Linked DNA regions of Tamandua tetradactyla. The protein of the gene in region 1 purifies or fractionates together with the protein of each later gene. This does not show direct contact. Links are inferred from orthologs where the notes say so. Each region holds a gene or a part of one and is shown on either strand. Other genes may lie near its edges.

The links.
Region 2: the proteins of PARP1 (region 1) and TOP2B purify together in Homo sapiens (affinity purification with western blotting; 3 studies listed by BioGRID and IntAct, with this or other methods). This does not show direct contact. The link is inferred for Tamandua tetradactyla from reciprocal best matches to the Homo sapiens genes PARP1 and TOP2B.
Region 3: the proteins of PARP1 (region 1) and XPC purify together in Homo sapiens (affinity purification with mass spectrometry; 4 studies listed by BioGRID and IntAct, counting the BioPlex papers as one, with this or other methods). This does not show direct contact. The link is inferred for Tamandua tetradactyla from reciprocal best matches to the Homo sapiens genes PARP1 and XPC.

Annotation. Positions count from the first base shown.
Region 1 is NC_135333.1:20,187,094-20,194,501, forward strand, and holds the start of PARP1 (poly [ADP-ribose] polymerase 1), read left to right. Parts: upstream 1-4,397; 5' UTR 4,398-4,526; coding exon 4,527-4,646; intron 4,647-7,408. UniProt on the Homo sapiens protein: Poly-ADP-ribosyltransferase that mediates poly-ADP-ribosylation of proteins and plays a key role in DNA repair.
Region 2 is NC_135341.1:62,454,556-62,461,577, forward strand, and holds the start of TOP2B (DNA topoisomerase 2-beta), read left to right. Parts: upstream 1-4,000; 5' UTR 4,001-4,031; coding exon 4,032-4,106; intron 4,107-7,022. UniProt on the Homo sapiens protein: Key decatenating enzyme that alters DNA topology by binding to two double-stranded DNA molecules, generating a double-stranded break in one of the strands, passing the intact strand through the broken strand, and religating the broken strand.
Region 3 is NC_135335.1:33,961,034-33,968,276, reverse strand, and holds the start of XPC (DNA repair protein complementing XP-C cells), read left to right. Parts: upstream 1-4,221; 5' UTR 4,222-4,694; coding exon of another isoform or gene 4,695-4,715; 5' UTR 4,716-5,006; coding exon 5,007-5,109; intron 5,110-7,243. Other genes in the region: U6 snRNA-associated Sm-like protein LSm3, read right to left, coding at 2,375-2,485, 4,695-4,715. UniProt on the Homo sapiens protein: Involved in global genome nucleotide excision repair (GG-NER) by acting as damage sensing and DNA-binding factor component of the XPC complex. Has only a low DNA repair activity by itself which is stimulated by RAD23B and RAD23A.

The DNA.
Region 1 (7,408 bases):
TGCTCAGTAGCCGCATGTAACTAGTGGCTCCTATGTTGGACAACCAAGTCTCAAGCTTTTACAAAAAAAGGATCTATTTGTGTATCCCATGTGAAATACGAAAACTCAATGTAGATAAAACAAAAGTAAATAACATTATCATCCCTACAAGCAAATAAAAACATATAGCACAGCCACATTATGAAATTGCATGCGTTTTTAAAAAGGAATGAAATGTCCTCTACATTCTGACAGTAATAGATAACTCTGGGATATTAAGGAACAAACTTCTTAGAGGGCAATATGTACATAATGTGATCTCAAAGTCTGTATGTGTGTATAATGTTTAGTGAAAGAATCCGACTGGATATAGGACAAATTATAAACACTGATCCCCTCTGGGGTTTGGGGATGGGGAGGGGTTGGGGAAGGAAGGTTTTCACTCTTTATTCTATTTATGCCTGTGCTGTTTGATTTTTTTGGCTTGTTTTCGTTTGTTTGTTTAGTTTTATAAGAGGAAAATCACAATAAGTACCTTTGAGTGCAGTGTCTCGGCCCTGTCTCTGCCTCTCTCTCTCTCTCTCACACACACACACACACACACACACACACACACACACACATCCCTGCACACACACACACCACCAACAACAGGGTTTGAGCTCTGGGATTCTGTGAGGTGCCTTGGGAGGTGCCAAGAGAATGTGATAGTCATGGGCACACATTTCAAGGCTCCTGCTCAGCCCCCACGTCACACCTCATCAGAAACTGGAGTTTCTTTTGAGCTGGACAAAAACTGAGAGCAATAGACTCCTAAGAAATTCAGAAAAAATTCAGGATGGTTGGAAAACAGGGACTTAATAAAACTTTTACCAGCGACCAACTAAATGCCAGGCGTTGAGCTGGCACAAGAAGAAAGGTTGAACCATCCCGCCTTAGTCAAGGAAGGGCTTAACCCTCCTCAGGATCAGACCCCCGCACAACCAGCTCAAGTACTAGGAAGGGGCAAAGCAGCCACGGGGCTCAGCTCTGAGGACAAGAAGGCTGGAGAGCGTGATTTAAGGGGAGGCTCTGGAAACTGAGGGGGAAAAAGGCAGAGGCTCAGCCTCTCATCTTGCCTCTAATACTGAGAGACTTTAACACTGGGAGAGATCATTTAATCTCTCCATATTTCCATTTTCTTATTTGAAAATGAAAACAGTGCGTGAAAAGGATGTAATTTAAAACATAAATGTTGCTAGTGAGCTCAGAGTGCTCTGACTGATTCTGTCCCAAAAGGAAAAAAGAGGGAAAGGGAAAGGGGAGGGGATGGGTGGGAAGGGGAGGTGGAGGGAGGAGAGGATTAGATAAACACTGAAGCAGGCATGTGCACCAATATAATCAAAGCTCCTGTCCCATAGAAGCCTGGAATTGGAAACATAGGACCTAGGTTCAAGTTTGGTTCTTTCATTTTGTAGATTTAATTTGAAGAGTATTCATTCAAATATTAATACTAAATGTGTACTATCAGCAGGAACTAGATGTAGAGGATGTAGAGATCAGCAGGTAGTTTCTGCTCTCATGTGCTCACCGCCTGGCACGCTGCTACAGGTTGGTGGGAGGAACTCCAGAGCAGATGTCCCAACAGCAGCCTTGGCAGGACCAAGGAGGAGGGAGACAGCTCTGCTGGGAGGGGCGGCGGGGTAGATAGTGGCAGGTGAACCAGATCTTGAGAGACAAATCAGAGCTGCCAAGTGAAGGGAAAGGGAACAGGTATTTTATCAAGACAGAAAAAACATGTGCAAAGTTAAGGAGATGTGGAAGAGTTCATGTGAATGGAAAGTAATTTGGTGTGACTGGAGTGCTGAGAGATGAGGGTGGAAAGGATACTGAGGGGAGTTATAAGCTGTTCTGGTTTGCTAGCTGCTGGAATGCAATATACCAGAATCAGAATGGCTTTCAAAAAGGGGAATTTAATAAGTTGCTGGTTTACAGTTCTAAGGCCGAGAAAATGTCCCAATTAAAACAAGTCCATAGAAATGTCCAATCTAAGGTACCCAGGGAAAGATACCTTGGTCAGGAAGGCCAATGAAGTTCAGGGTTTCTTTCTCAAGTGGAAAGGTACATGGCGAGCACAGTCAGAGTTTCTCTCTCATCTGGAATCTTTTTCTCCAAAATGTTTCCTCTTTTATAGGACTCTAGTAAACCAATCAAGACCCACCCAAATGGGTGGAGACATGTCGTCACCTAATCCAGTTTAACAACCACTCTTGACTAAATCACATCATCCGGGGAGATGATCCAATCACAGTTTCAAACATACAGTATTGAACAGGGATTACTCTACTTTGATGAAATGGGATTTTGATTAAAACATGGCTTTTCTAGGGGGCACACATCCTTTCAAACCAGCACATAAGCCATCACAAGGAATTTAGTCTTTTAAGCTTTAGGCCAGGATTGGCAAATTCAAATCGCCTAGGGTACCAGGCTGATAAAGGAAAGAAGGGAAGAAGCCCAGGCGTAAGACACATACTGCTATCCTCTCCACCTGCTTTTGGTTTTCCTACTCTTGATAGAGATATAAGTACCAAAAAAATTTTTAACTTGAGAGGCAGTGTGGTAGTTAGATTCAGTTGTCAACTTGGCCAGGTGAAAGCACCTAGTTCTGTTGCTGTGGACATGAGCCAATTGTAGGTGAATCTCATCTGTTGCTAATTACATCCGCAGTCGGCTAGGAGGCGTGTCTGCTGCAATGAGTGACGTTTAACTTAATTGGCTTGTGCTTAAATGAGAGAACGCAATGTAGCACAGTCTAGCAGCTTGGCATTCCTCATCTCAGCACTTGCAGCTCAGCTCAGGCCCTTGGGGATGGAGAAAGAAATCACCCTGGGCAAAGTTGTTGGAACCCAGGGGCCTGGAGAGAAGACCAGCAGAGACCATCCTGTGCCTTCCACGTAAGAAAGAACCTCAGTGGAAAGTTAGCTGCCTTTCCTCTGAAGAACCAACAAAATAAATCCCCTTTTATTAAAAGCCAATCCGTCTCTGGCGTGTTGCATTCCGGCAGCTAGCAAACTAGAACAGGCAGTAAAGGAGGCAGCAAAGTGTTGGAAAAGTGCACTAGGGCACAGATTCTTAACCTTGTTTGCATGTGTGCACACTCAGGACATTTTGGAGGTCCAGTGAAGGCTACTAACTTCTTCTCAGAATCAACTGTGGGTAGGGAATCACCTTAATGTAATGGTAGCCTCCAGACATACGATCAGGCACGCTATCCCAGGAGTCACAAAACAGAAACCCCACAGTTAAATTAAAATGCTTGAATTACTGTTTATTAAATCAGTTTAAAACAGTTTAAATCAAAGGGGACCAGATGGGGTGCATAACACAGATGAGATTCGGTACAGGCTAGGCAGAAGGACCATACACTTTCTCTTTCCCTCCCTCCCATGTCAGCCTGCCCGGGCTGATGGTGGGGTTCCAATCACCAGAGCTGAGGGTGTCTGGTCACAGGTGTAACACTGCATTTAGCTTGCTGAACAGACATAGGTATTATGTGTATTTCTTGAGCAGAGCTCGTGGGAGCCAGAAAAGGAAGAGAACGCTACTGGGTGACCATTTAGGGACAGCCTTGCTGTCGACCCAGAAGCACAATGCACGTCTTTTTAATTTGGTCGCTAGGTAAAAATATAGTCCTACATTAAATAAGAAGATCTAGAGCTAGCCGGCCTAATAACCACGGCAATAATATTCTGAGCTTAATAATATTTTGATTTATCTCGAACTGTAAAGTGATACGAAGTATTTGTGGTGACTATTGGTGAGTCAAATCACGGATTCTGCTAATATTCCTAGGATTTGTATTCATGCTTCAAAATTCATAGTAGAGGAAACGCTAAGTTTCAGTTAGGACCCTGTTCCAGCGGTCTGCGGACTCCAAGTGAGTCCCACGGGCCAGGGAGGGTCAACCTCGCAGCTCACTGGCCAGCCCTCGGCAGGTGAGCCGCGTTCCCGAGCAGGCGGCTCTCCGAAAAGAGCGGGAACGCAGAAAGATGGCTGGGGAGTTTAAATAGCGGTGCAACAGCAACTACGCCTGCCTAGCAACTAAACGGTTAAAGGGGTAGCAATTTACCCTTCAGAGGGAGACTAAACGGCCGCCAGAGCCCCCAAAGCCCGTAAACCCTTCGCCGAGAAGGGCCCGCCCTCGAGGCCGGCCGCGGGCACACGCGCTGGGGGCGTTCCCGCGGCCAGGCGTCAGCAATCTATCCCGGAGCAGCGCCCTCGGACGCCTGTTGGAGATGGTGGGCGGGCGCGCGGGCGCCGGGGGCGTTCCCGCGGCCAGGCATCAACAATCTATCCCGGAGCGGCGCGCTCGGACGCCAGCAGGGGCTGGTGGGCGGGCGCGCGGGCGCCAAGGGCGGTCCCGTGGCCAGGCGTGAGCAATCTATCCCGGAGCGGCGCATTCCGACGCCTGCAGGAGCTGGGGGGGCTGTCGTCCGCGTGGCGGGCGAGGAGGAGGCCCCTGTGGTCTTGCGGTCCCGAGGCGCTGCGGCGGCCCAGGGAGGAGGATGGCGGAGGCCTCGGACAAGCTTTACCGAGTCGAGTACGCCAAGAGCGGGCGCGCCTCCTGCAAGAAATGCGGCGAAAGTATCCCCAAGGATTCGCTCCGGATGGCCATAATGGTGCAGGTGCGGGAAGGGCCCGGAGGCCTCGGTTGCTCACTGGGTGGCGCGGGCCGCTTTGTGCCGAGCGGGGACCAGGGCTGCCTCAGGCTCCCCGCGCGCGACCTCCGCAGCGGCCCCTGCAGCGGCCCCGCCTTGTGAGATTTAGGGAAGGGCTTGGGGGGGAAGGAGGGCGGGGGCTCTCGGAATGGGCCGGGTGGGCCCGACCGCTTGGACCCCTCCAGCTGGGCCGCGGTCGCCGCTGCAGTCACTGTGCACTCGGTGGCCTGCCCGTGGGCCCCCCCCCCGGAAGGCTCTGCAGAAAAAACTCGGAAAATAGGATCTGTAACTGGTGTTTTTTGCATTTTAAAAAGGAGCAGGGCGGGCCACGGTGGCTCAGTGGCAGGGTTGTCGCCTGCCATGCCGAAGACCCGGATTCGATTCCTGGTGCCTGCCCATGAAAAAAAAAAAAAGATAACAATAAGGAGCAGCTTTAATTCTTTTTTGGGGGTGTTAGAGGAGTTCTTGTTATTTTATCATCACTCTCCTTGGGGGGAAAGGCGTGCAGCATCTTTTGACGCTAGTCTGATTTTGATCTGCCTTGTGCTGGAAGGTTTTTGACCTACATTGGTGGTGACTACTGGCTTGTGGGGATTTTTTTAATAACCTATTTTTTACCTATATTTAAAAACACCCACTCACCCTCAATTTAAAGAAGTTTATGCAAAACTATATAAAAGTCGGTGTCGTTTCTACATAGTGCATTCCCTTTTTGCCTCATTTATGCTTTGAAAAAAGCATTTTCCCCAAACTTCCCAGACTGTCCTTTTGATGCCTTGACAGCCATCTGATTTGAGTCGAGTGGGGCGGGAAATTCCTTCTCTGGGCTTTCTGACAGAGTGGGGAACCCCGTCCCATCCTCCCTGAGACTTCTGAGATGACGATTTGGGGGTGTGCTTTGAGGCAGTGTGTCTGAAGTCTCCTGTTCAGTGGAGGGGCCTTCCTGCCTCCTCCGTCCTGCAGTTTGCTGGTGTCTGTGTGTAATTCTCACCTGCCCAGATCCTCCCCGTCTCCCATATAATGCTGTTTGTTACTCAGCATCAAGGTACCTCTTGATTTTCTCTTTCTATAATGAGACAGGAAAGTGTTCCAAGAATGATCAAATAGCCCTCCCTGAATTTTCTAAAGTGCCGGTACTTAAGATTATCTGGTTATCTTGGTATCCTCAGGGCATACCTAGCTCAGTACCTGGAAGCTGTGCTTTGCATTCAGTACACATTTGTTGAGCACCTATTATACACAGTTTCATTCCAGGCACTGTTTTTGGTACTAGGGACACAGTGCAAACTCTGCCTTTGGGACTTTGCCGTTAGTTAAAGGGAATACAGCTGGTAAATAAGCATTACTGCTGTGCAGGGGTGTATGCCAGCTGATAAAAGCTGGCAACCCCAAGGGGTCCCAACTAATGTGAGCACTTGATTAGGAGTCATTTATTCATGGAAGTGGGGAGTGGTAAAGTGAGGACTGAGAAGAATATGGGCCTATCATTGGAAAACCAGAATTTACCACTAAAGGGCTTTGAACTTTATTGCAAATATATGGGGAGTTTGCTTTTGTGAAGTTCCCTCTCCTACTGCCTGGGTTCTTGGCCAAGGTTCTATGAAATGGTGGGTGGAACTCAAGAAGTCCATGAATTTTTCAGCTCTGTTTTCACTAAACTCTAGATAAAGGTATTCTTTTCTGCAGTTATGAATATAAGCAGCAAAGCAAAGACATATAAATAGTACCAGTGATTTTTGTCACCAGTAGTAATTACAGATATTATCATTTTATAGTTGTTGGAAATCTTCAAAATATCATTTACTCTCATTCCTACTTCAAATTTACTGTAATTATCAGACAGGTACAAGTTTGTTATATAATGCTTTAGAGATCATGTGTTACTGTATCTCCAAAATACTTCTTAAATGATTTGATGATTATCTCAGTATAATTGCTTACCCTTGTGAGCCTCTGCATTATATTTATTGTGCTTTGAAGATGTTACTGCCACAAACGGATGCCCATAGTCTTCGCCAGACAACCAGAGATCCCTGTTGTGAGAAGGACAGAGAGAATATCTGCCTACAGCCAGTGTGTTGGCAGCAAGCCCAAAATGTTGAGGAAGAGGAGGGTTGGCTCTGAAGGAGGGAGTCCTGAAAGGCTTCTCTGAGGAAGGTAACTTGAGTTACCTGTTTCAGTTAAGCTGTAACATTCTGGGCCCTCATTCCAGATATTTATAAGGTGAAAGAAATTCCCTCTTATAAGTAAATGTAGGGGGCGGGCCACATTGGCTCAGCAGGCAGAGTTCTCGCCTGCCATGCTAGAGATCCGTGTTTGATTCCCCGTGCCAGCCCATGCAAAAAAACAAATAAATAAATAGATGTAGGGCGGTGCACCGGTGGGCTCAATGACAGAATTCTTACCTGCTGTGGAGTTGGATTCCCAGAGCCTGCCCGTGCTAAAAGAAAATAGAAGTGAATGTAGTTTTTCTGTAAAGGTATTTGGAGGTGGGTAGAGATGTTTCCTTTGTGGATTTGCTTCTTAATTCAGAATTTAAAGTTAGTCTTTCTGCTGGCTAAGCTGGTTAAAAGCCAGAAAGAAAGAAGTCATTCTTCTCTGTGCTTGCATATAAATACCTTCTCTTACATTTGTATGGGAGGATTGTTGGCTGCTTATCAAATATCTGATACTTTGTTGCCTGAAGGAAGGGAACTGGGTCTTCCAGCCTGGTGACCTTGGGGGACTGT
Region 2 (7,022 bases), on another chromosome or scaffold:
AAAGGCATATGGTCATTTTATTCTCCCCATTATATAACCCAGTAAATCAGTTCAGAACTCTGAATATTATTGCTAATCTATATCATGTAAAATAAGTGAAAATGTTTCAAAGTCCATACAAATAACTAGAGTTGTTACCAGAGGATCAGTATAGCTTACTTGGCCGAAACTAATCAAAACAAATTCCTGGAAACCAAAGAAGTCAAGCAAAACAAACAGCCCACAGGTATTGTAGGTAAAAAATGAAAAGCGTTAGCCTTTGTCCATCTTCCCAATGGTGGGAATACTGAGGAGTGGGGCTACCACTGATGTCTTCAGCCATCCACACAGGCTTGTTATTTTTGGTGTTAAGTACCTTTTAAAAGTAAAACTATGGTAGTGCAATGGTGGCTCAGTGGCAGAGTTCTTACCTGTCACTATCTGGACAACATTTATTGAATTTTCTTGTAGGACAGTTGTGAATTTCTCTTCTTATTCTAAGCATAGCAACTTTGTATATATTTAGGACCAATGAATACTAACACAATGAGAGAAAGAGCGAGTTAAAATTGCAGACATTGAATTTTGGATTAAAATATTAACTTTAAATGTTCGATGGGTTAAAGATTAGGGTCCCCCACCCCTGACGCCAGCTAAATCTTAGTGTTGGAACAATACATGGTTTCAGTGGAAACTTTACGGGAACTTTGCCAGATACCTAGAAGTATAGTTATTTTCTCAGATAACTTATTTGTTGATTGTCACCTACTGCATTTAAAGTGCAATGAATGACAGATGTGAGTCCTATCAGGTGAACTGCTTATTAAATAGCAAATAATTGAACATAAAATTGCTTTTGGAACTGAAAGACTAGCTAAAAAATATATAAGGTATGTAGCCAAGGCAGAGATTACATCTTTATCACCTTTTTGACTCTCCAGGTCCTAAGTACCTAACACACAGTAAACATTTAATGAATATCTTTGTTACATTAGGTAAACGTAAGGTCTAAAAATAAAAATTCTGAAGGAGTTAGGATTAGCTTGATTAAAGGCCTTTAATTTTATAGTTTATGGAATGGACTGATTTCTACAATTTTTCATTTTGACAGGTGCTTTTCTATGGGGTAAAAATAGGTCTATAAAAACATATAATAATGTATATGAATACTATTATATTAGCATATGGTGTGTGTGTGTGTGTGTGTGTGTATGTATATATATACTAAGATAAATATGATAGTAACCCAAACAATACAAACCTGACATTGAAGCTTGTAGCAATTATTGCTACAGTTGCTACAATTACTTTGTAAATGAAAATTACTTCACAATACCCCAGAAGGTAAAGCTGTGCTCAAGTGAGCTACAATCCATTTTATCATAAAAGTCGTGGTAAGTCTACCTCACATAGTTAAAAAGATCAACAGTTCTTTAGGTGCTGAGATACATTTGTTGCAGATACTTTCCCCCATTAATCGTGTTATTTTTGCTTTAAAATATTGAGTTGCATGTATTCAACAATTCTTTTGTTTGTGATCCAATTAAGTAAGTCTGTATTTTCCACAACAATAAAACTAGTAACACTTACCAGATGGTTTCTTGATATTTAGGGATACTGTAATGCCTCACCTATGATGCAAATGAAAAAAATGAACATTATTTTCATCAACTAGCCTATCTGATTTTTGAATATATTTTCTCTTCAAACTCTGAAGCTCAAGAGCTTTGAAATCTGAAGTTTCAAAAAGGTTTCTACTTAATTGCATATATTGTTAGAAAAAACTTACACCTTTTAACATTATCCACCCATTTTAAAAATTATGTTATACGTGTACTTTGGCGATGTAAAGTTACAGTAAGTATGAGAGTAAAAATACTCATTTTAACGAGGAGTAAACCAAGCCCCCAGGGAAGTTAAATAAACCCATGGTTATTTAGCTGCTCAAGTTCAGGGCCCAGATTAGACTCTGGTCTGTCTGAATTTCAAGCTTGCACCAAGTTCAAGGTAAAGAAAGGCGTTAGTGTCTGAATCAAAGTCACAATGTACCAAAATTACTTGGCCACCAGAGAGCTAATTAAGAAGAAATACGTTTAAATTGTTTCCATGTTTCAGAGTTCCCTACCTCTGGACTCAGAAGGAAGTCGAAAGATGTGACCCCAGACATTTTTGTTTTCCCCTGAGAGGAAATGCACATTTGGAAGAGACGTTCATAAGAAACACCTTTCCACAAAACATACTGTATTTCTCTTCTTAAGAAGTGCTTGTCACAACTTTTTGGTGCCACTTCATGCCCTCAAGTACACATCTTATATATTACCTTAAGACAGTTAACTCCTTTCAAGTATCTCTCCAGCCAGATCATAAATGACTTGAAATGGGGGGCTGTGTTTTTATTTTGATCCCATAGCAGAGCCTGGCCCAGGATTTCAGAGGATGTGCCCAATAAATACTTACTGAATGGAATTACACTGAAAAGAAGATGAAGCAGAGCCATCTTCCATCTGCCAAGGACTCTGCTGCAGCTGTATGGGTCACTCACTCTTAGAAAGCTTTAAAGTGAATGGAATTATTCCTCAGCATGTATTTTAAAATTCTACTGGAAAGGAGCTTAAAAAATTAAGCGTGCCCTCCTAGAGGTCTCTGGGACAGCTCAGAGTAGCTATGAAAGAAAAGTGACAGTGACATCTCTGTCGTGTTTAGAGGACAGAGCTCAACAAAGAGTTGAAACAGAAGACATACCCCACCTGCATTCTTTCCCTGGAATGTTCTCAGTGAGTTCCTACTCATTTAAGTTTTTTAAGTGCAGTTTTCTTGCGACTAACGGGGTCCTCTTTTAGACGCGAGGAGGGACAGGGCCTGAGCAGAGGTTTTTTTGTTTGTCTGTTTGTTTTGACAGCGTCCATTTGGGGCCTTGGAGAGGCCAGGGTCACGGGGCCCTCCTTGCACCAGTGGTCTATAACGTTCTTGCCAGCGGTTTAAAACCGCTGTCTAAAAATACTTTCCCTTTGGGACAGCCCTCGCCTCCTTCCTGCTCCCTTCCCTCCACTCCCCACCCCCGCCCCCAGCCACCCCTGGCAAAAAAAAAACGCCTTGGTTTCGCAGGCGACTCAGAGTAAATAGCACGCTCGGCTGAATACAATTGACCCGAGTACAATTCGACCCTTTCCCTTTGCTGCCCTCAAATGACCCTTGACAGCAGCCCTTGCTCCCCCTAAAATGGAAAACCCACAGACACACACACAAACAAAAAACCCCAATTCTTCCACTCGGTTGCTACCCGCAATGACGTTTCCCCCTCGGGTCCCGCCCCGCCGGGGGCTTGGAATTTTGGGATTGGCCGAGAGGCTGTGGCGACAAGGCCCTGATTGGGTGACCAGGTGCTGACTGACAGCGGGGGCGGCCGCCGCGCCCTCCCTCCCTCCCTCCCGGGTGTGCGAATGTGTGTGTGCGCGGTGCTATGCCGGACAAGAGGGAGGCGACCGTGACGGCGGCGGCGGCTCTGTTTATTGTCCCTTTTGGCGTGTGGATGTGAGGAAGTCGGGGCTGCAGCGCGGCCGACAAAGGCCATCTTCGAGGCAGAGGCGGTGGCGACTGCGGCGACCCGAGCGGCCAGTCTTCGCGGATTGTGAGGAAGGACAAGGCACCTCGGTGTCCTCGCCACGTCCGAACGCCCCAGGCTTGCCGGCTATCCTCGCTGCTCGCCCCCGGGAGCCTCCGACCCGCTTGCTGCGGCGCCCGCGAGCAGGCGAGGAGGCAGCGCCGCTGCTCAGCCACCGCCGGCCTCCCCCTCCTTCTTCCTCCTCAGCAGCGGCGCTAGGCCCGGGCGACGCGGCCACCGCGACTCGAGTTTGAGGGCGCCGGGCGGCGCGGCCTCTTTGGCGGGCTCGGCCCGGCGTCTGCCCCGGGTCTCGGCGATGGGGCGCTGGGGCCGGCGCCGCTAGGAGCGCGGCGAGTCGAGTGGCCGGTGCGGAGCAGCGGGGTCCGGCGGACCTCAGGAAGGCGGCAGCGGCGGCCGCGTCCTCGGGGCCTGTGAGCAGGAGGCACCCGCCATGGCCAAGTCGGGAGGCGGTGGCGCGGGAGCCGGCGCAGGCGGCGGTGGCGGCAATGGGGCGCTGACCTGGGTGGTGAGTGACGGGCGACTGGGGGCCAGGGTCCGGGCCGCCGCATTGTTCGCGGGCGGCGGCGGGGGTGGAATTCCGTGGGACTGGCGGGGCGCGGTGTGGGGGAGGGGGAAGAGGGAAATCCCGTCTCCCAAACCCGCGTCCAGTCGGGCTTCTGCCGGCAGAACCCCCGCCCCTTTTCTTTCTTTTCTTTTCCTCTATGGAGGCTCTGGCTGCAGGAGCGTAAGGTGCCGTAGAAACTTTGGGGGACAAGCCATGAACATGTCATAGAATCCCCACTTCCTCTTTTTTCCTCTCCCCCAGACTCTTCCAGAGCAGTCGGGCGTGAGATGAAGTGGATGGGGAAAATGCCTCTGTGTCTGTGTGGGTCAGCACTTTCTCCAAATGTGACTTAAAATCCCAGGGAAAGGGGTGTGTGCGCGCGCACGCCTTCTAAATGCAACCATTTCTGATGCTCTCAGCAGAAGAATGGATTTGGCGGGGAAGACGTCCAAGAGCAGTTTACACTTCCATTCGAAAAGTGTCATTCGAATGAGAGTGCATTGGGGATGGCTGTTTCACAGTAGTTAATATACCGTAGATCATCCCTCTGTCAGGACGGGATTATCAAAAGAAGCGTTTACCTACGTCAGCATCTCAGGTGAAACCGGGTGGGGGCTGAAGGGAGTGTGCTGGAGAGGAGACGAAGTGCCAAGTCCTGGAGGCGCTCAGCCCTGCTGGGAGATAGAAGTGGCTCAAGGAAGACCTGGAGGAACCTAACTCCCACGGCAGATCGATAATTCATTGGCATCTCGATAATTCATTGGCATCTCGATAATTCATTGGCATCTCGGCTTGGAGTTCAGACCAGGGTCATTTCCTATACACACACACACTCACAAAACCCCAGCTCAGCCGACAGATTAGATACCCAGGGGGGGAAAAAAAGCGTTACATTTTTCAAGGACTTTGATATCTCCTCCCACCTCTTTTTTTTTTTTTTTTTTTAAATCGCTCTTGCTTTTCTCTTTGCTTGGGTGAGGTTTAGGGGAATTGGATAGGGATTATGCTGCATCTACAAGCATCCGTTCTGGTAAAAACAAAACAGAAAAACGAACGTGTTGATAGCAGAAAAATATGTGTGCCAAGGCGCCTTGCAAAATAACTGCTAGGCTTTTAATTAAATCTCTGCGAATTTTGTTAATGATAGTACTCCAGTAATGCAGTACGAATGGACTAGAGCCTGGAAAGATAAGTAGTTAATAAATTAGTAGTCCATGTGTACATGCAAGGGGTAAGGGTGGGGACAATGCATAAATTAGAACGAAAGATTTTTTAGATTAGTGGCACCTTACCCTTGTTACTAAAATCAAATGACATTTGAAAATGCTATTAGATCACCAGCTGATATTGTGAGTTCTTATTCATTATTTGGAAATGTTAATACATCATTGGTGTTTCCATTGAGGAACTTTGATTCTATATTGATAAACAGTTTACTCTAAAATTAAATTTGTTTCTTTTAACATTTCATAGCAACGTTTTAATTTACTGTTATTTAACTTTGTAGATAATTACATGACCATATTTTTTTTTGAGCTCTGTAGGAAACTTTTCTTTCATTTCCATAAGAAATTTAGCAAAAGTTGGAGGGTTTCATTCAATGTTAGAAAAATACATTTGAAACTAAAATGGACTTATTGATAGAATAAATCGGTACATGCTTTTTTTTTTAATCTTGGTATTTGTGTCTTTCATTAAATAAACTATCTTGAAAAATTAGTTTAAATCAGGATATTAATCTTTTATATGGACAGATCAGTAGTTGGCAAAGTATTTATTTTTCCATCTATTTGGGAGTATCTGTTACCATTGGCTACCTGTAAGTAAAAATGAGTGTCAGAATTTGTGTTAAAACTAATGGTTGCTATTCATATGCCTTTGCAGTCTACTGTAGTTATCTTTAAATTCTTTGTATATTGAATTTATAATTTGGTTGGATCTCTTGAGAGATAGAGAAGTGTGTTTTATATGGTTTAGTTGATGGTAATTATAATGAAGTGTTAACAGACTATTTCATATTGCCTTTGATTATAATTCCGTAATTTTCAGTGGTAAAACTAGAACTTGAGATGCATTTTTCATTTTCCATGATTAAGATTGGTTGCTGGCAGAAATTACTTAAGATGTATCACTTGCAAATCTTATTTTCTATTGAACTTTAAAAATCTTGTTTTCAAATAATCTACTGAATAACTTTTATTTCTTAGAGGACCAGAAAGCATTTTTCTCATGTAATCAGGCTTTGCAAAAAGACCCAAATTATAGTAGAAAACTCAAGGACTGTGGTGGAAATGAAAAAAACAATTCTGGAAGTTAAGTATACAGGTCTAGTTGAGCAGATTAAAACATGGAATTTTGGATATGCTAAACAATCTGGCAAGGGAAGGAGAATATGATTTTGATCTAATGAAGACTTTTAGCTCTAAGTCTCCTCCATATGTTTTTGAAATTATAAAAGATTACTAAAAGTTTAGACATTTCAGACTTTAGTCATCTTTAAAACTTGGGAGGTAAATTTTGGCTTTATTCATAATGGTATGTCGTCATTATAAAACTGGTTATAGGGGACATGGGAAGTATAGTAAAGGAAGGGAGAAAACATCATATTTTATTGAAAAATTGTATTCTTTTATGCATTAGAAGTTTATTAAAAAGATGATTTCACCTTACAAGTCCATGTTAAGATTTGATGCTCACTTTTAGTACTGAATCAGTTTATGTGAGCATCTTTTTGTCCATAATATGTATAAATGACTGTAAGCTGGTTTAATTTTATGGGAGATAATACAGTGAAGTGGTTATCAGTGTGGGCTTTTATGTCAGAGTGATGTGGATTTAGATGCTGTCTCCCAACACATATAGTCAGTGAGATTTTTG
Region 3 (7,243 bases), on another chromosome or scaffold:
AGTTAAATGGAGCAATCCCCAAGCTTATCCAGAACTTAATTGTGTTTGGGATCTGCAGGCTCAATCAATAAATGCTGCAACTGAGATATTCAGGGATGTACTCAATCCATTCAAAAGTTAGCATTTTACTAAAAGATGACCCTTCTGGGGCTTTATGTGGAACCCACTTACCCTTATTTCTACCAAAGTGCAAAGTGGTTCACCAGCTAACATAAAAAGAAAAGTAGCAAATAAGTCACACGGGGAATATACCAGAGACGACACACTAACGAGATAAAAAAAACCCTAAAATTTGTTTTTGTTTATATGTTATTGTTCACAGAAAAAAAAAAAAGAAGGAAAAAAGTCAATTGTGATGATAAAAAAGTATATAAGCCTTTTGCCTCCTATATTCTGGAGCAACTAGGAGGAAAAATATAAGAGGATTGTATGGTAACCCATGACAAACTCTGGGATCTGTCTTGTAGCCACTTGTCGAGGAGTACTTTGAAAACTATTGTTTTATTTCTTTGCTCTGTATATATGTTATATTATACAATTAAAAAAATTTAAAAACAAAACAACCAAACCTAAAACTGACAACAATAAAAAGACAACCCAATTAAGAAATGGGCAAAGAACTTTGGAGAAAGGTTTACTTTTTGTTTTTTAACCATAAACTGTGATTGATATGTTCAAAATATAGAGGAAGAGGGGAGTAACATGAAAACAAAGGTGAAGTAATTTTACAAAAGTATTGGAGTCTACAAAAAATCATATTGAAATTCTAGAGCTGAAATATAAAATACCTGTAATTAAGAATTTAACATAAGGGAATAACAAATCAGTCATAACCAAGGATAATATAAATAACCCAGATAATCGCTCCCTGCTGCTTGGATTTTGGAGAAAGGTATTTCTCCAAAGACGATAAACAAATGGCAGATAAACACATGAAAAAATGCTCAACATTATTAGCCCCTAGGGAATGTGAATAAAAATCACAATGAGATATCACTTCACACTCACTAAAAATGGCTTTTAAAAAAAAACAGCAAATAAAAAGTACTGGCCGGGAGGACGTAGAGAAATATGGACCCCAGAACACTGTAGGTGGTAATGTAAAATGGTGTAGTCTTTTCATAGAGACAGAAAATAGAGCACAGGATGCCAGGGGTTGAGGAGGAAAGGCAAACGGGGAATTAAAGTACAACGGGTGCAGGGTTTCTGTTTGGGGAGATGGAAAAGTTTTGGTAATAGGTGTCTATGAATGTCTGTGTTCATATTTTGACTCTCCCTTTGTAGGCTTTGCCACCTTAAGCAAGTAACTCCACCTTTCTCTGAGCCTGAGCTCCCCCAACCATAAAATGGGACAGATACTACCCTCAGAGGACTGTTATAAAGATGATATATATATATATATGTACTTTATATAGTACACATAAAGCATTCAGAATAATAGTGCCTGGCATGCTCAATAAATATTAGCCTTTTTTTTTTTGGCATGGGCAGGCTCTGGGAATCAAACCTGGGTCTCCGACACGGCAGGAGAGAATTCTGTCATTGAGCCACGACTGCATCACCCAGTGTTAGCCATTTTTAATCACCACAGGGTAGAATGGAAGTAGTAAAAAATACATATTTTAGAATAAAAGGGACCAATCCTATAGGAATAGTTGTATATATGCGCACAGAAATATGTATAAAAATGCTTACTGCAGCATGATATACAACGGCAAAAAATGGAAAACGACCTATAGATCACTACTGTATACAGAATCCTATGTAGTCATTAAAAAGAATAAAAGAGATTTGTATGCACTCATGATCAAGGAATTCCAAGAAAGATTAAGGTGACAAAAATATTTATAGCGGGATCCCATTTATTTTTTTAAGGATGGGATATATAGTGCAAAATAAATGTATCTGGACACACACACATGAATATATATGTGTAACTATTCAAAAAAATATCTGAAAGAATACAGATCCAATTTTTAGCAGTGGTTACCAATAGAGGAAAATAGGATTTCATCTGTTACACTATATATATCTGTGTTGTCTAATTTTTTTTACAAAACACATTTATGCAGCAGTAATTTTTTAAAAATTAAATAAGAATGGAGGACAAATGTAATTTACAAATAATCACAAGGAAAAAATGAAGGGAGTGAAAACATTTCATAATAAACACATTTCTGTAAAGAGAAAAAAGTGTTAACATATATAAAATAGTTATATTTGGCTTGTAGAAATATGGGTGACTTTCTAACTCCCCCTCTTCCATGTTTCAAAATATTCTTGCACATTGGATACTTTCTACATTTCAAGGGGGTGGGGAAAGGGAGGGATGATACAGAAGTAGTCTAATTTCAAGATAATTTAATAAACTTACATGTAATCTGCCTCGAAGCTCTCGGTCGTTTCTCATTTTCACGTAAATTCGCTCATCCAGGCTGAGCCTGATGAGATCCAGGGGCTCCTCTACGGTGTTGGTAGTTTGTTGCTGATTGAGGAAACAGTAGCATAATACTAGGAATAGTGTAATGTTCCAATCACTGCTCTGCTATGTGACCATGGGCAAGTTACTTAGTCTCTGTATGCCTCAATCTCCTAATTTGTAAAACGGGGATTAACAGTACCTATTCATACTGTTGTTGCGAGGCTTAAATGACCTATATGAAGGCTCAGAACAGTGCCTGGCACATAAGTGCTATATAAATGAGAGAAAACATATACACAAAGAAAGGAGTTACACAGCAAAATAATCATGGCTATACCAAAGTCAGTGAGACCTTGTTCCCTCAAAATAATAAACTGCCTGACCCAATTTCAGGGTAAACGGAGCCACTTTCTGAGACTTTAGCCTTATCTCAAATATCATTTAATCATTTGTAAAACATTCACTTAGTGCCTACCACAAACCAGTCAGGATGCTAGGGAGGGATGTTCGTTAAAGTCTGAGGGAAGATTATGAATCCACCACAAGGAAGATTGAGTTCAAGGTGCCAAATGGACAGTAAGATGAAAATAGGTAGTAGAAAGTATAGACTACTGGTTAAAAGCACTGGATTTGGAGCAAGGCAGTCTGGGTTCAAATCCCAGCTTTGACCTGTACAAACTGAGATAACAAATCTAATTTTTTGCTTCCTTATCTGTAAAATGAGGATGCCACAACCTTTCCTTAAGGTTTCTTGAGAAGATTAAATGAGCCAATATATTTAAAGTAAAACCTGGCAAACAGAAAGCACTTAAAATAGTTATATTAATAATTAATATTATACATATACAAATATTAAATATTAATACAAATATTAAATACAAATATTAAATAACTGTTGGTAACATAGGTCTGAAGTTTCAGAGATGTCAGGGCTAGGATCACCTCGGGGCCATCCATATGGAAGGGAGGATTAAAGCCATGAAACTTGATAAGATTGTCCAAGGAAAGAGTTTTCAGTGAGAACAATCATGACTCCAGCACAGGCTCTACCTGTCCTTCAGATCAATGAGAAAAAAAAAGTCCTGACCTCAACTGGTGACTCTCTCACTATTCCAGTTCAACAAGTGTTCGTTAAAGAGCTGGACAAGCTACAATTTCATAGAATATAAGGCACCTGTCCTTAAGGAGTTCAGCCCAATTAGGAGAGAGGCATATAAATAAACAATTATAGTTCTATAAGAATATACACATGACAGAATCCTGCTGCTACTTTAGACTCAGTCTGAGATGCCCATTCTCTACCCTTTTCAACCTATAACCTTAAATGTTGCCTTTCCAAAGAGGTCTCCTGATCATCCAATACATTCATTCATAAATATATGGTGTTTCCAGCACTGTTATAAACCCTGATGGTAGAACAGTAAGCAAAACAAAATTCCTGCTCTCGCAGGGAAGACAGCTGTTATACAAAGTAGCACATACTTAAAATGAAAAAAATAAAATAAAATAAATAAAGAATGACATACTATGACGAAATTAAACAAGGTAAGCAGACTGGGGTGGTGGTGGTACTATTTGATGTAGGTGGCCAGGGAAATCCTCTTTGATGAGGTGAGATTTGAGTGGAAAAACTGAATAAGTTGTGGCCCGACATTCATCAGAAAGAGTATTTGGGGAAGAAGAGCAGGCGAAAAACCCTGTAAGGTCTCCGTACCCGGTCCCTTGTCTGTTTCCTTCATACCACGTCACAATTCCTATGTATCTCACACGTGTATGCCTTGCCCCAATAGAATATAAGCTCCACGTGGTAATGGGATTATGTCTGTCCCTGGTGCCTAGAGTAATGTCTAGTCACCGACAGCTGATACACACTACGTATTGGTTGAATGAGTGGATAATTATTATACTACGCTGAGTAATAACGTCACTAACTCAATTTTTTTGCCACACTTTCTATCAGAATCCTGACAGCTCCACGAGGCAGACACGGAAAATTATTCTCATTATCTACAGACAAGAGAAGGGAAGTGATGAGAGTCAGGAATCGCTGTTAGGCGCGCGGGCTTTGAACAGGACAGAACTGAGGGCCTGAAGCAAAACTGGAAGGGGATGCGGTTACAAGGGGAAGGAGACAGATTAAGCCTTAGTGGGCCAGAAAGAGGTGGTTCGTAAGGACACTTTCCCGTGAGCTTAGAGAAGGCAGCCCTGGCAAGTCGAGAAGGGCCAGGACTGGGAGCGCGGGGGAAGCCGCTTTAGACCAAAACGCACTCACCTGATCCACGTCGTCCGCCATGTTTCAAACCCTGCGCCCTTTCTCTCCTATCGCGAGATCATACGTGCCTTCCCACGCCTCCGGAAACGTGAGAACGCAAAAGCACCGGAAGTAGAAAGTATCTGTTTGGTTCCGTCTCTCTGCCTACGCAATTTACACTGGCTGCCGGGGCCGAGGCGGACCTTCCTCTGAGGGTGTGGCTTGGCCGTGGTGGAGGGGCGTGACTATGCCTTGCCCCACTGGGGCGGCTCGCGTGCCGCGACCGCTTACCGCGGTGTGGTGCGTCACTCGCAAGGCGAATCTCTCTCGGCCATGGGACGGAAAGGCGCTGGCTCTCCGGAGCCGCAGCGACGCGAGCTGCGCGGCCGGAAGGCTAAAGGCAAGAACCAGGCCCGGAGCGAGAGGAAGGAGGCAGGTGAGAGAGCGAGGGGACAGATACTGAGGGGGCTGAGAGGCAGGCCCGCAGTGCAGGAGCCGGGGTGGGGGAGGATGCTGTTCAATGCCCAGACGGAGGCAGGCGGAGCCTTGCCGGGCCGCTATGTCGCTGCCGGCCCCTCACCGTCCGGCATCCCTGCACGCCTTTGTCCCTCACGCGAGGAAGGATGCGGCCAGAGCAACTTCTTTGGAGTCCCATCTGACCACGAGCTCCCCAGCGTAGTCTCATTCCTGCTTAGCAGTGCCCACAGGGTAAAGTCCAGCCTCCTCTCCTTTGCTAAGGGCTGAATGAGGAAAAGGCATTGCAGTTATTTTATGAGCCCCCAGGAGACGGACCGCGATGTGGAGTGGTGTGGTGTGCTAACTCCCAGAGTAGCATCTTCAGCTAAATCTCACCCAGGTAGTTCCAACACGATTTTTTCAAGTGGATATTGTCTGATGTTTAACATAGACAAAGCAACGCTCTTGATTTTCCCCCTTTAAAACCTCTGACCTTTCCCCAGTTTTTGCCATCTCAATAAATGACCCCTTTACTGTCTTGGTAAAGCAAACCGTTCTTTTTCTTACATGCACAAGTCCTGTCAGTTCAACCTCAGAAATTTATCTCGTCTGTCCTTTTAATTTTGTTGGCACAGTTCTTGTGCAGGCCACTATCGACTTGCAGGTGCGTGGCTGCTGTTACCTCTTCACTGGTCTTTCTGCTTCCCTGCAGTGGGTTCTGCACCCAGCTGCCAAAATGATCCTTAAAAGAAATCCACACGTTTCCTGTTCCTACATCAAAACCTCTATGGCTTCCCATTGCTCTTGGCATAAAATTTAAATTTCTTAGCACAGCCTACAAGACCCTACATGATTTGGGTGCTGCTTCCTCTCTTTTCTCCTTGCCAGGGATTCTCTTTATTTATTGGCCAACTTGCTGTTCCTCTAACATGCTAAGACATTTCTAATCTTAAGCCTTTGTTATTCCTTCTGCCTAGAATGTACTTCCATGGCCCTTGTGGCTGATTTCTTGTTTTCCTTCAGGTCTCAACTCATTCTTCTATTCCTTCAGGTCTCAACTCAGAGTCACTCCTTGAGTTTCAGATCTAAGGTAGCCTTCCACAGGTATTCTCCTTCTTTGTACCCTGATTATTGCTCCCACAGCCCTTGTCACGATCTGTTAGGGTCTTATTAATTTATTTGCTTCCTTTTTGACCACCCATCTTACTAGAATTTAAGCTCTTTGAAAGCAGAAATGTCTTGTATTTTGCTGTGTCCATTTTGTCCTCCCTCCCTCCACACACACACATAGTAAGTACTCAATAAATATTTTAAATCTTTGCAAAATGCATGCTGCTTTAGGATTTCTAGAGTTCCTGAATGAAATAACTGGATAGAAGATTAAAGTAGGTAACCAACAAGGGCTCCTACGATACTAGATTCTTTGATTCTGTACATGTTATAAGCTAATTGTCCCTTAGAAAATATTCAAATGGTAATAGTTTCTTAGCTCAGAAGGTGATTTATATTATGCTTAATTAATACTATGAGTTCCATTTTATTCATTCAGGCACTCATTTATTCATTCAGATAGCATTTTTTGAATGCCAGTATATGAATTAGGTGACATAGAAGATGGAGATTTCATGGAAGAGCTTAGAGTATAATACTGTTGATATGACATTTGTACATAAAATATCCAAGGCAGAGTCCGTTAAAGGTCATGAAGAAGGTACAGAAGACTGGCTTCTGAAAGATTGATCAAGTTCGACTGGAGAGATTGAGAAATGCTCTCTGAAGGGGTTATGTTAGAGCTACAACTTTAAGAATGGATAATAGTTTAGCAAGCAGCCATGAAAGGTGGGGAGTTGGGGCATTCTAGACAGAGGGAATGTGTTCAGAGTATGTTACAATTCAGAAAGTAAAGATTTTAATCTGATGGTAATGCTACCTTCCTGGGTAGCATTCTCAGCTCAGCATTTCAGCTGTGCATCACTTAGACTTTGGTAAATTTACATGCACTTTGGTAAATTATTTTTGGACAAATAACCTTTCTAAACCTCATCTGTGAAATGTAGTACTACCCTGCAAGGTAACTGTGAGTTTTCAGTGAGATAGCATATAAGGCTTATGGC